3 linked regions of the Alligator mississippiensis genome follow. The protein of the gene in region 3 interacts with the protein of the main gene of each other region in a biochemical or structural test. Links are inferred from orthologs where the notes say so. Each region holds a gene or a part of one and is shown on either strand. Other genes may lie near its edges. The genes, in order: JAM3, JAM2 and PARD3.

Region 1 (3,745 bases), on a different chromosome or scaffold from region 3:
TGAGGAATAGAGAGTTTTGAAGGGACTAGCTAGGTGACAATGAGCTTTGAAGTCATAGAAATCAGAGAAAATGAGGGTTTCAAGGGACCTTGGGAGGTCACATCTAGTCCCACCCCATGCTCAAAGCAGGACCAACCACAACTATATGTCATCCCAGCCAAAGCTTTGTCTAGCCGGGTTTTGAAACCTCCAAGGATGGAGATGCCAACGCCTCTCGAGGTAACCTGTTCCAGTGCTTCACCACCCTCCCAGTGAGAAAGTTTTTCCTAATATCCAACCTCAACTTCCCTTGCTGCAACTTCAGCCCATTGCTCCTTGTTTTGTCATCTTTCACCTCTGAGAACAGTCCAGCTCCATCCTCTTTGTAAACCCCCCACAGGGAGTTAAAGGTTTCTATTAAACCCTTCTCAGTCTTCTCTTCTGCAGACTAAATCAGACCAGTTCCCTCAGCCTCTCCCCATAAGTCATGTGCCCCAGCCCCCGAACCATTTTCATTGCCCTCCACTGGACTCTCTCCAATTTGTCCCCATCCTTTCTGTAGCGGGGGCCCAAAACTGGACACAGGACTCCAGATGTGGCCTCACCAGTGCTGAATAGAGGGGAACAATCACTTCTCTTGACCTGCTGGCAACGCTCTTACCAGTGGGCCCTGGGACCTCCTGGTCAACCTCCTCCTGGCCCTGGCCAAGCTGGCTATATCTTACTAGGAATGCAGCTCTGACCAGAAGGGTCCCCGGGGACTGCAGGGCTGTATTCCTGGGTCTCCTTCGTTCCCATCTCTGAGCGGAGCACCACTGGACAGTAGCTGCCAGCTCCCTGGCTGCCTTTGAGAGTCAGTGGGCACTCCCTGGGATGCTCTGCTCAGCGCCTCCTGAGGGTACACTACTTTTGAACCTCTAGCCCACGTGCACAACCCTTTTAAAATATTTTGTCCCCCAAAATCAGTTTCATAGATTTCATAGACATTAGGGCTGCAAGGGACCTCAGAAGATCATTGAGTCCAGCCCCCAGGGGCAGGAAGTCAGCTGGGGTCAAAGGATCCCAGCAAGATAAACGTCTCTTAAAGGAGTCCAGAGTAGTTGGCACTCTTGTTTTGCTTTTGCCGCCCCATGGAGTGGCAGATCCGAGTGACATAGCAGGCATGTGCCCATGTACCCAAGGGCATCAAACACACCAGCCCAGGATGCTGTTATTATCCTTCTTGGCAGCAAGGGCACACTGCTGGCTCCTATCCAGCATCTTGCCCACTGTCCCCCCGCACCCCACACGTCCTCTTCTGCAGAGCTGCTGCCCAGCCAGCCCGCCCCGGCGCATGAGATTGTTTTGTCCTCGGTGCAGGACGCTGCACTTGTCCTTGCTGACATTTCTGTCTCCGTGTGGGGGTCCCTGGTTCCCAGCCCTGCCTGCCCCGCGCTGCAGCAGCACCAGCCACGCGGGGAGCATCCGAACCCCTGCGCCCCGGCGTTGCTCGGAGACGGTCGCCGCGGCAACGCGGCGCCTGCATCCCTGTCTCCCGGGCGCCGCCCTCAGCATCCCCCGCTGCCTCCTCCCCGGCCGGGCAGTGCGCAGGCTCCGCGCTCCGCACAGCCCGTCATGGCGCTGCCGCCGCCGCTGCTGCTGCTGCCGCTGCTGGGTGAGTGCGGGCTGGGGCCGGGGCTGGTCCGGCCGCAGCGCTGGAGCCGGCCCCGGGGGCCGGGCGGGCACCCTGCACGGAGCAGGAGGGCAGGGGAGCGCCGGTGGCTGCCCCGGGCGTGGGAAGGGATGGGGGGCACTGGGGTTCCCGCAGTTATACAACATCCAGCTGGAGAAAGGGAGACCGGCCCTGCCATCTCCTCGCTGGCTCGGCAGGGATCCCCGCCCCATCTCCTCCTCCGCTTCTGGATGCAGGAGAGGTCCAAGCAAGTAAACATTTGATTTTGCAAACGGTCGCGGGCATTTCCGAAACGTCCCGCGAAGCTGCTCTCTGAGTTTGTCGCAGGTTCGCCGGTGTTTCGTGTCCGCGCAAACCACCTGTTTTGGGGACTGAAGTCTTCGCTGAAAGAAACGTGTCCGGTCCAGGGGGAAATCACTTGGTCTGAGGGCTCTGGCAGGGTCTGGAGCTGTGATGATTTACATGCGTGTTGCCAGCGGCTCCGTCCAGCCGAACGGTGGTCATCACAGAGCAGACAGTGACATTTGTAGTTAAATCTTGGCAGGACTGAAGCTTTTATGTCCCAGAGCTGGGTGTCAGCTGGTTCTAGGGACTAAGGCCATATCTGATACCAGCTGAGGGTTAAAAGCACGAGAGAAGAGGGGCTGTGGCTGGAAAACTCTACCAATAAAACTTGGCAACAGGCTGAGGCTCCTAGCTGCAGAACTGTGAATGCTTACGACCTTATTCACATTACACTGTAGGGTCCTTGGGGCCATGACTGCCTCCCCACAGCACCACGAGGCCCTGGTCTCGATTGTGGCTTCCAAGTGCTGCCAAAATACAACAGACCAGGCCCAGAGCCTATAATAAACCGCACAGTTCAGGGCACGGAGCCCAAGAGCTGTCTGTGAGAGGCGAATGCACCAGGGCAACTCCGTGAAACAAAGGTACCGGCACAAATTGTCAGTCAAACCCTGATTTATGTTGTCGCAACACAACTCCGGTGATATTGCTGCATTGGTGGACAGGCCCTTAAATTTCGAGGACTTCATTGTTTCAGCCTGTTAGGGGCAGGGTTGGTCTCTGGACTTTGAATAAGCCCCAGAAATTCGAGGGGTGCATGGGCCCATCTGCTGCGATGCTTTGTTGTGTTCCCAGTCGCTGACTCAACTGATTTTGACTGGCTTAATTCTAATACACTTGATTCCACCGAAGCATTTCTTAATCTAGGCAGTAAGTCTCCTGACTTTTTTTTAATATAAAATCCACCTGTCCCAGAAGAAACAACTGCTGGGAGTCAGCTGCTGGTGCCAGAAATGGCTTCTTGATAGGAATGTTTTTAGCTTTAGCTTGGTTATGAATGAGGGGTGGGGGTGAGTGGCTGGTAAGTATTTTCTGATGACAGTCAACTGCAGTGTTGCTTTATTTTCAACACAATACAAAGGAGGAAAAGTTGCTCTCTTATCTGGGCTACAAGTGGATGCTTGATGCTGTGCTCAGAAAAAATTCCTTGGGAGGACTTGGTGCTTCCTAATGGGAGAGGAGCACTTGGTGTCGCTTCTGAAGTGTAACCGAAGGGGCTGCAAGTTTTGTGCACATCCACTCTACAGCTGTTGACAGAAAATGCCATGCGGGCAAATTCCCTCTTTCTCCGTGTGCTTCTGGCCGTGGTTTTGTTGCCTAAGCACAAGTGGGTGGAAGGAGGGGGAAAATGTATTTTTGTGTGAGGACACCAAGTTGCCGAGCATGGCTGACCTGGTTATGAACTTGGCTTCTCTTTGCTGGCCTGTTTCTCTTGCAAAGGCTGAATTTTGTGTCTCTTGGAAGGAACGTGGCTTTTTTTTTCGGCAAGCCCATGGTGTGCTTGGGAGCTGAACTGTGCGTAGGAGCTGCATTGCCAGCGGTCACCTAAGCACATCCATGGAGCAGAATGTTCTTTTGCACCGAGCTCCGCCAAGGACAGCGGCTGCTTTACGGATCATACTCGGTAGCCAGGGTCCCTGTATCACCTGCCAATTTGCCCCGTTTTCTTTGTTAACTCCAAAAGTCAAATGTTGGTGAGCCCTGCCAGCTCTTGCTTTTCCTGAAGCTTATTTGGATCAAGAGGGGAAG
Region 2 (3,745 bases), on a different chromosome or scaffold from region 3:
TAGGCATGCAGTAAAATAAGTTCTACATATGATATTGTCTTATCAGATGCCTGACATATTTTGCTGCATTTTAATCTACCGTTTATCTACAGCTGTGTTTTCATATCTTCTGGTATCTCACACTTACGTTCAGCCTGCCCTCTAGGTCAGGCAAGCTTTTTCAGATTCATTTTATTATGCCCTTTCTTGTTCTTTTTTAGTGAGCTGAGAAAATGATTCAAAAGTAACAAAAACACCTGTGTTGCGTTTCTGAACTTGCAAGATCCAGTTTTGTTTTTCCATTGGCATAATGCATTCAAACCACTTCACAGAAATGCAAAAATATTTGGCTCCCACCTGTTAATTTCTAGGAGAAAATAATATTCTGAAAAGCTGCATTACTGGGTAAAAGCACTATCATGGTTAACCACAAGCCTGCTTAACAGTGTGGAGCTCCAACAACTGTAGTTGAGCATCAGATCAGGTCCCAAGAGACCCAAGCTATTGTTCTCCTTGACTGCCGGCATCTAAAAGCCAAAATATGTATTGAACAAAGAAAGAGCAAACAATAGCTTCACTATATGCTCCCCGCAGTTGTGCTGAAGCTATCGTTTGTTCTTTCTATGTTGGGTACATATTTTGGCTTCGGCTGCTGGAGTCAAGGAGAAGAATAGTTTCAGACTCTGGGGTCTGACCTGAAGCTGTACTAAAGCTACATAGGGCTATAAGCAGCTATGGGGATTAAAGGAATGCAGAAATCAGCTCGGTATTAAGAAAGGCAACATTTGCATTATACTGCTGATTACGCCAAGCGCCACTCAGCTGCCACCGGGATGGCAGCAGCAACAAGAACCTAGGGGACAACTAAGCAGGTTGGTTTCATGGGAAAAAAGCTGCTTGAGTTTCTAATTGCTCTGCTGGATGTCTTCCAGTGGCACCAGTATGTTCCTCCAGGTTACTACAGCACCCAGGGGTGCCTTGAGATCCTTTCAAAAGCAATGTGAGCCCTGTTAGGGTGAGACCCCCCCCCCCCCCCCAATGGCAAGAGAACCAGAGAGATTTTTAAGGCCTGGCTAAACAAAGCCTCGGCTGGGATGATCTAGTTAAGGATGGTCCTGCTTTGAACAGAGGGTTGGACTACATCAGTGTTTCTCAACCCATGGGTTGCAACCCAAAAGCAGGTTGCAAGAATATATGAAAGAGTCATGAACAAACTTTAAAAATGGATCAACCAACTTAAAAAATGGATTCTCCTTTAAAGGAGAAAAAATGTGGGAAACCATGGCTTTCCTCTTGCAGGCTGGCAGTCCTAGCCTCTAAGGGGCTGCTTGGGGCTCTCCATGCCTCGCTTACACTCACCCCCTGCCCCACACACTGCAGGGCCGGGGCCTGGAACAGGGGCAGTGGCTCAGGAGCGAGCAGGATTGGGTCAGAACTGTCCATCGATGTTTACACATGGGTCCCGATACAAAAAAGGTTGAGAACGACTGCACTAGATAACCTGCTGATGTCCGTTCTAACCCTCATGTTCTAGGAATCGAATGATTTTGAAGAGGGAGTTTAAGTTAGAGAAAAATGCCCTCAGGAGCAGGGCAGTAAAGCACTGGAAAAGAGAGACTTTTCAGTGGTAGCAGATGACAGAGGTGGCACAGTCACCCACCCCCACAATCTTCAAAAAGCATCTTGCCACTTGCCTTGCTAGGGTCATCTGACCCCAGCAGTCTTTCCTGCCTAAGTGCTGGGGGACTGAACCTGATGATCTTGTAAGGTCCCTTCCCAGCCCCAGCATCTATAAAACAAGGAGTAATGGTCTCAAGCTGCAGCAAGGGGAGTTGAGGTTGGATATTAGGAAAAACTTTCTCCCTAGGGATGTAGTGAAACACGGGAACCGGCTCCCCAGAGACTGTGGTGATGCGTAGAGGGTGCATGTGCACCCCCTGTCAGGCTACACTCCCCACTCAAGCAATGGGCAGGGGTGCAGGTGGGAGCGCCAGTGCCTCCCTGCAAGTGCCGGCTGGGGAGTGGGGACTTGCAGGGGAGTCGTGCAACCAGCCAGGGGAGGCCCAGGCAACATTTGGGGGAGGGGGAATATCATATGCCCCCCTGACTAAGGCGGCACCAGTCCCCCATGCCCAGAGAGGTGGCAGACTCTCCATCCTTGGAGGCCTGCTATGACAAAGCTTTGTCTGGAATGACTTAATTGGGGCTGGTCCTGCTTGGAGCAAGGGGCTGCACTAAATGACCTGCACAGGTCCCTTCCCACCCTCCTTTTCCCCTAGGGCTCTGGAGCAGCTGCTGCCTGGAGGCAGAAGTGCCATGAAACGTGAAAACGAAAACGAGAGCGTGAGCACAAGCAAGCAAGCAGCATTTGTTACCCCTCCCTCTCCAGGACCCTGCGGCTGCGAGGCGGGAGGAGGCGGCAGGGACCCCGCCGCCGCGCCGGCCGTCCCGCGCTCCCTGCCCGAGCGGAGGAGGGAGGCGAAGAGCGGGACCCCCCGGCTCTCCCGGCCCGTGCACGGCTGGAGGGGTCCCAGCAAGGCCCCCGGGAGGGAGGGAAGCACCGCCACTTACAGCTAAGAGCCCCCAAGGCGCCGAGCAGGAGCAGGAGGCAGGGGCGACTCGCCATCTTCCCGGCTGCAGCCGCTCTGCGGCCGCGGGACGCTGCTAATGAGGCGGAGGCTGCTCCGAGCTCGGGCTCCTGCGCGGCGGGACCCCCGCCGCAGCCCCGGGAAAGGCAGCCGCGGGCAGCGTCCGGCGCGGCGCCGGGGGCGGGGGACGAGACAAAGGAGCGGCCCCTGCTCCTCGGGGCGGCGCTGCTCCGCGCCTCCCGTGGCCTTGGGCCAGCCCCAGGGTGGGGTGGGGTGGGGTGGGCGCCACTAGCTGGGAGCAGAGCCCCTCTCCCTCGTCCCAATCAGCCCCGCCGGGCGAGGGTCCCCGCGGAGATGGGAGCGCTTGTATCAGACCGACTGACTTGGGGGGGAAAGTTCTTCTGTCAGCTTCGAGGCGTTAGCACCCTTCTTCAGGCAGTAGGAATACCCTGCCGGTGTCATGTGAACGAGGAGCCTCTGATAACAAAAAAATAAATAAATAAAAATCCGTAATTTGGGGTTAAAAAAGGTAAGCCAAACGCTACATTTTTCCATGATCAAAATGAACCGCCACTAGCGTATAGATACATAGATTCCTAGACATTAGGGCTGGAAGGGACCTCGGAAGATCATCGAGTCCAGCCCCCTGCCCCAAGGGCAGGAAGTCAGCTAGGGTCATAGGATCCCAGCAAGATAAGCATCCAAATGTCTCTTGAAGGCGTTCAATGTAGGTGTTTGAACCACCTCCGGTGGCAGGCTGTTCGAGGCCTTGGAGGCTCAGACAGTAAAGAAGTTCTTCCTTATGTCCAGCCTGAAATGGTCGTGGAGGAGTTTGTGACCCTTCAACCTCATCATGACTCAGGGCGCTCTGGTGAACAAACGTTCCCCCAGATCCTAGTTAGCACCCCTGATAAACTTAGGGGCCACCAGATCACCTCCAAGCCTGCGCTTTTCCAGGCTGAAGAGTCCCATAGCTCTCAGCCTTTCATCGTAAGGTCTGTTTTCCTGACCTCTGATCATGCGCATGGCTCTCCTCTGCACCCTCTCAAGCTTCTCCACATCATTTTTTAATTGTGGAGCCCAAAACTGGACACAGTACTCCAGCTGCACCCTCACCAAAGCTGAGTACAAGGGGAGAATAACGTCCTGGGATTTGCTTGAGAAGCATCTGTGGATGC
Region 3 (3,745 bases):
GGGGCTCCACAGCTCACCAAAACTCGTTAAACGGCCCTCCAGCCAAAATAATTATCCACCCTTGCTTTAGGCACACATGCTCTAAGCAATCCCCTTGAAGGGACTGCTCCCAGTATAGAGCAGTGGGTGCACAAGTTTTGCAGGACTGGGACCAGTGTTTTCAAGTGGTAAGGCCAATTAAAATATTTTCAAAAAATGTCCACTAGATTTCTGATGTCCTGCAAGAGGTGTGTGCTTTCCAAAGGTTAAGCAACTTCAAATGAAGTCAATTTGAAAACACCCCCTCCTACATATTTTCCTCCTCAATTACATATTTGATTAAAATAAAAGGTTAAAAAAGAAAAAAAAAATTAAGCTTCATACAACTGCAGCGTTCCAGTACAAGTGGACCCTCTAATTTCCACCCTAAGGGTGGAGTCCTACCATAAAGATCTGACATTACCACACCAACTATTTCCATATTAATCTGTTTCCTGAACAACAGTCCTGGTGTTCATTACATTTGGGGAGTTCTTCGTGTTTACTTACTGAGACACTTGTGTGAATCCCTACATTACCCAAGCACTTCAATGCAAGATCTTCAACTAACAACATCAAAACTCTGTTTTACATTAACAGCATAAAAGCAAGGGGCATGTGGTGTCCATTTTGGTGTTTTAACCAGACAGTATTTCCAAATAACAGAAACCATCTCATTGCAAGTAGGGTCACCTCAAGCCCACATGACTGAAGTACAGCTTAATCCCGGACAATACATAAATAAATGAAACAGAAGGTCTTTCAAAACCAGGATCAAGGGCTTCAGGGGCTGGAAGCCACCAAGACTATAACCACACAAATAGCCTTGGCGGTGCATCTGTCAATATATCACATTTCAGAGGTTCTTAAGTTTTTTTCCCCATACGGTAGACAGTTTTGGTCAAAGATAACTTGTCCTCATTTGCAATCATACAGAAATCAGAATATCTTCCTTCACATAACCTCCCTGTGTTAACTATTGTAACGGTTACATTCCTGAAATTATATTTCAGTGCATTTGTTGCCATATTTTAATGAATTTTAGCAGCTGGAAACAAGAATGAGATTCAGCCCGATGTGAGAAGAAAGATAGTTACAGGCTACAGGTTGGAAACCCAAGATGTTTAATACAAGCAACGTTATTAATGCAACATTAATACTAAAAAACTTGGGGACCATTTCGGAGAACATATGGCACCCGTTAAATTAATAGCATTCAGTCCAGGAGTCGGGGTTTACCAGATTGGGGCTCTTAACTATAAGAAAGCTTGGGAAGCAGTCTTTTATTTGCATGTGAAATGCCACGCACAACAAGGATGGTATATAAATGATAGCAGCTGGTATATAGCAGCTGCCATACTTTAGTTAATCATTGTACTTTTTCGCTAGTCAGTGCTGTAACTGTGTGTTACACACCAGAAAGATTTTAAAAGATACACTAAGTAGTCATGATTTTTCCCTCCAAAACCATCTTCTTGAGGAAAATTCATCAAAAGGTAGAAACTTAATTGCCTTCGTCCCCCATCCTGACCACGTCTTGGGGGGGAGCGGGGAGGGCTGTGGGCACATCCTGTCCAACCCACCGGCCTAATCCCCGTGTACTTTCAACTCCAGCTTGGCGCAGTTGGAGAAACTCCTGATGTAAACATCTGTAAAGCGAAACCCTGCCATCAAGTATGTGTGTGTTTTGGGGGGGGGGGGGGGGCGGATTTCAGAGAGGTTGGAAAAAACCAAAGAGAGTAATTCATGCCCAAACATCTGAGCCGAGTACTTGGAAGAGACACTGGACAACATTTCATTAAATAACCAGCCGCGGGGGGCTCCGACTGGAGAAAGGCAGGCAAGCTTTTGAGGGCACAGCCGTCTCCGCCCGGCCGGGGCGGGAAGCAGCCGGGGGCAGCGGGGGTGCGGAGGAGACCTTCCCACGGGCAGCACCCGAGCCCCGCCGAGCCCGCCTCCCGCCCGGGGCCGCTGCCAGCGGCGGCAACCCGACCGGGCCGGGCGGGGCCGAGCGGGGCCCGGCGCACGACGGGGGTGGCGGTGGGGGTGCGGGCCGCCCCTGCCCCTGCCCCTGCCCTGCCCTACCCTGCGGCCGCGCGTGGCCGGGGCCGGGCTCGGGGCAGCGGACGGCGCCGGCCGGACACAGGCTCCTCCCTGCGCTGGAAACTTTTTTTTTTCCGGGGGAAGCCTTGGCTGACAGGACCCCCCCGGCCGGCCCGGCCCGGCACGGCCCTTTTGTTCTCCGCGAGTTACTTTCTTTCCTTTTTTCTCTGCAGCTGCAGAGAGCCGCTGCCCCGGGGCCAGGGCCTGGCTCCTGGCGCCGCCCGCGGCGGGACCGCCACTCCGGCCAGCGCTCGGCTCGGCTCGGCTCGGCCCGGCTCCCCCCGGGCGCGCCCGCGGCGGCGGCCCCGGACAAAGCGCGGCCCCGGCCGGGCTCCGCTCCCGCTTCCCGGGAAGCGCCATGTTGCTCCCGACGCCGCTCCCGCTCCCGCTCCCCCGGCCCCGGCCCCGCGCACCTTGGCGATCGCCTTGCGGTAGCGGGTCACCGCCTGCTGCACCAGGTCCAGCACCTTCATGTTGCCGTCGCCGCAGGGCACCACCACCCGCGTGCGCCCGAAGCACACGGTCACTTTCATCCTGCCCGGCGCCGCGACCCCGGGCGCGCCCAGGCCCCGCTCACATGCTCGGCCGCCGCCTCCGGCCACCTGTTCCGCGGCCGCGCGCGGCTCGGGCGCTCGCTCCGGCGGGGGCCGGCAGCAGCGGCGGCAGCAGCAGCGGCGGGACGGGGCCGGGGCGGCGCTGTCTCCCCGCGATGGCCGCGCTGGGCATTGCGGCTCCCGCCCCTGCCGCGGGGAAGGGCCGGCTGCGGCTGCACCTATGACACGCGCCCGGGGCGGGGACTGCGCGGGAGGCGGCGGCGGCTCCTTTCCCCCGCTCCGAGGGGAGGAGGAGCAGGCGGGACCCTTCCCTTGAAGGCTGCGGCAAAGCCAAATCCGGATCCACGGCAGCGAGGGGGCAGCCCCCCGCCCGGCTGCGACACGGGCGCTTGTTCCCCGGCGCAGCCTGGCAGGGCAGGGCAGGGCAGGGCAGGGCAGAGCCCGGCTGCCCGGGGAAGCTCCGAGCAGCGACCCACTGGATCAAGGGTGGCCGACCTGCGCTCTTCAGAAGTGAATATGCCTCTCCTTGAGTCTGCACCAGCTTGGCGGCTGTGCTTGGAAGGAGCTGGCCCCTGTGTGCTCGTGCAAAGATTCAAGGAGACACGTGTTCATGTCTGAAGAGCCATAGGTTGGCCACCCCTGCAGCCAGTGGGGACGCGTAGCGGGTGCATGAGGGTGCACGTGCACCCCTGAGAGTGCTGTGCGCCCCCTGACAGGCCGCGCTCCCCGCTTAGGCGAGGGGCAGGTAGGAGCCCTGGCCAGGGAGTGGGAGCGCCGCGTGAAGTGCTGCAGCCACCTCCAGGAGCACCACGGCCGCTTCCCAGTTGGTACAACTGGGGGACCCTGCTATGCCCTGGTTGGCAAGACTGGCCACAGGGGGACTCTTGCTGGTCGCTGACTGATCGCTGGAGGGTAGCAGTCACCCATGCCCACAGTACATTATAATGAGCTGTGAAGTCAAGTGGCTCCCTCAGCACTGACCAGAAATGCTGCTGCCAGTGACCAGGCCTGGACAGAGGCATGGGCGAACTGGGCAGCTGCCCAGGGCCTGAAAATGGTCATTTTTTAAT

Evidence for each region.
Region 1: the proteins of PARD3 (region 3) and JAM3 form a complex in vitro, tested with the Homo sapiens proteins (2 studies listed by BioGRID and IntAct, with this or other methods). The link is inferred for Alligator mississippiensis from reciprocal best matches to the Homo sapiens genes PARD3 and JAM3.
Region 2: the proteins of PARD3 (region 3) and JAM2 form a complex in vitro, tested with the Homo sapiens proteins (2 studies listed by BioGRID and IntAct, with this or other methods). The link is inferred for Alligator mississippiensis from reciprocal best matches to the Homo sapiens genes PARD3 and JAM2.

The regions. Positions count from the first base shown.
Region 1 is NC_081839.1:27,935,179-27,938,923, forward strand, and holds the start of JAM3 (junctional adhesion molecule C), read left to right. Parts: upstream 1-1,535; 5' UTR 1,536-1,593; coding exon 1,594-1,633; intron 1,634-3,745. UniProt on the Homo sapiens protein: Junctional adhesion protein that mediates heterotypic cell-cell interactions with its cognate receptor JAM2 to regulate different cellular processes. Plays a role in homing and mobilization of hematopoietic stem and progenitor cells within the bone marrow.
Region 2 is NC_081824.1:286,856,621-286,860,365, reverse strand, and holds the start of JAM2 (junctional adhesion molecule B), read right to left. Parts: upstream 2,754-3,745; 5' UTR 2,606-2,753; coding exon 2,551-2,605; intron 1-2,550. UniProt on the Homo sapiens protein: Junctional adhesion protein that mediates heterotypic cell-cell interactions with its cognate receptor JAM3 to regulate different cellular processes. Plays a role in homing and mobilization of hematopoietic stem and progenitor cells within the bone marrow.
Region 3 is NC_081828.1:194,860,562-194,864,306, forward strand, and holds the start of PARD3 (partitioning defective 3 homolog), read right to left. Parts: upstream 2,856-3,745; 5' UTR 2,655-2,855; coding exon 2,535-2,654; intron 1-2,534. UniProt on the Homo sapiens protein: Adapter protein involved in asymmetrical cell division and cell polarization processes. Seems to play a central role in the formation of epithelial tight junctions. Targets the phosphatase PTEN to cell junctions.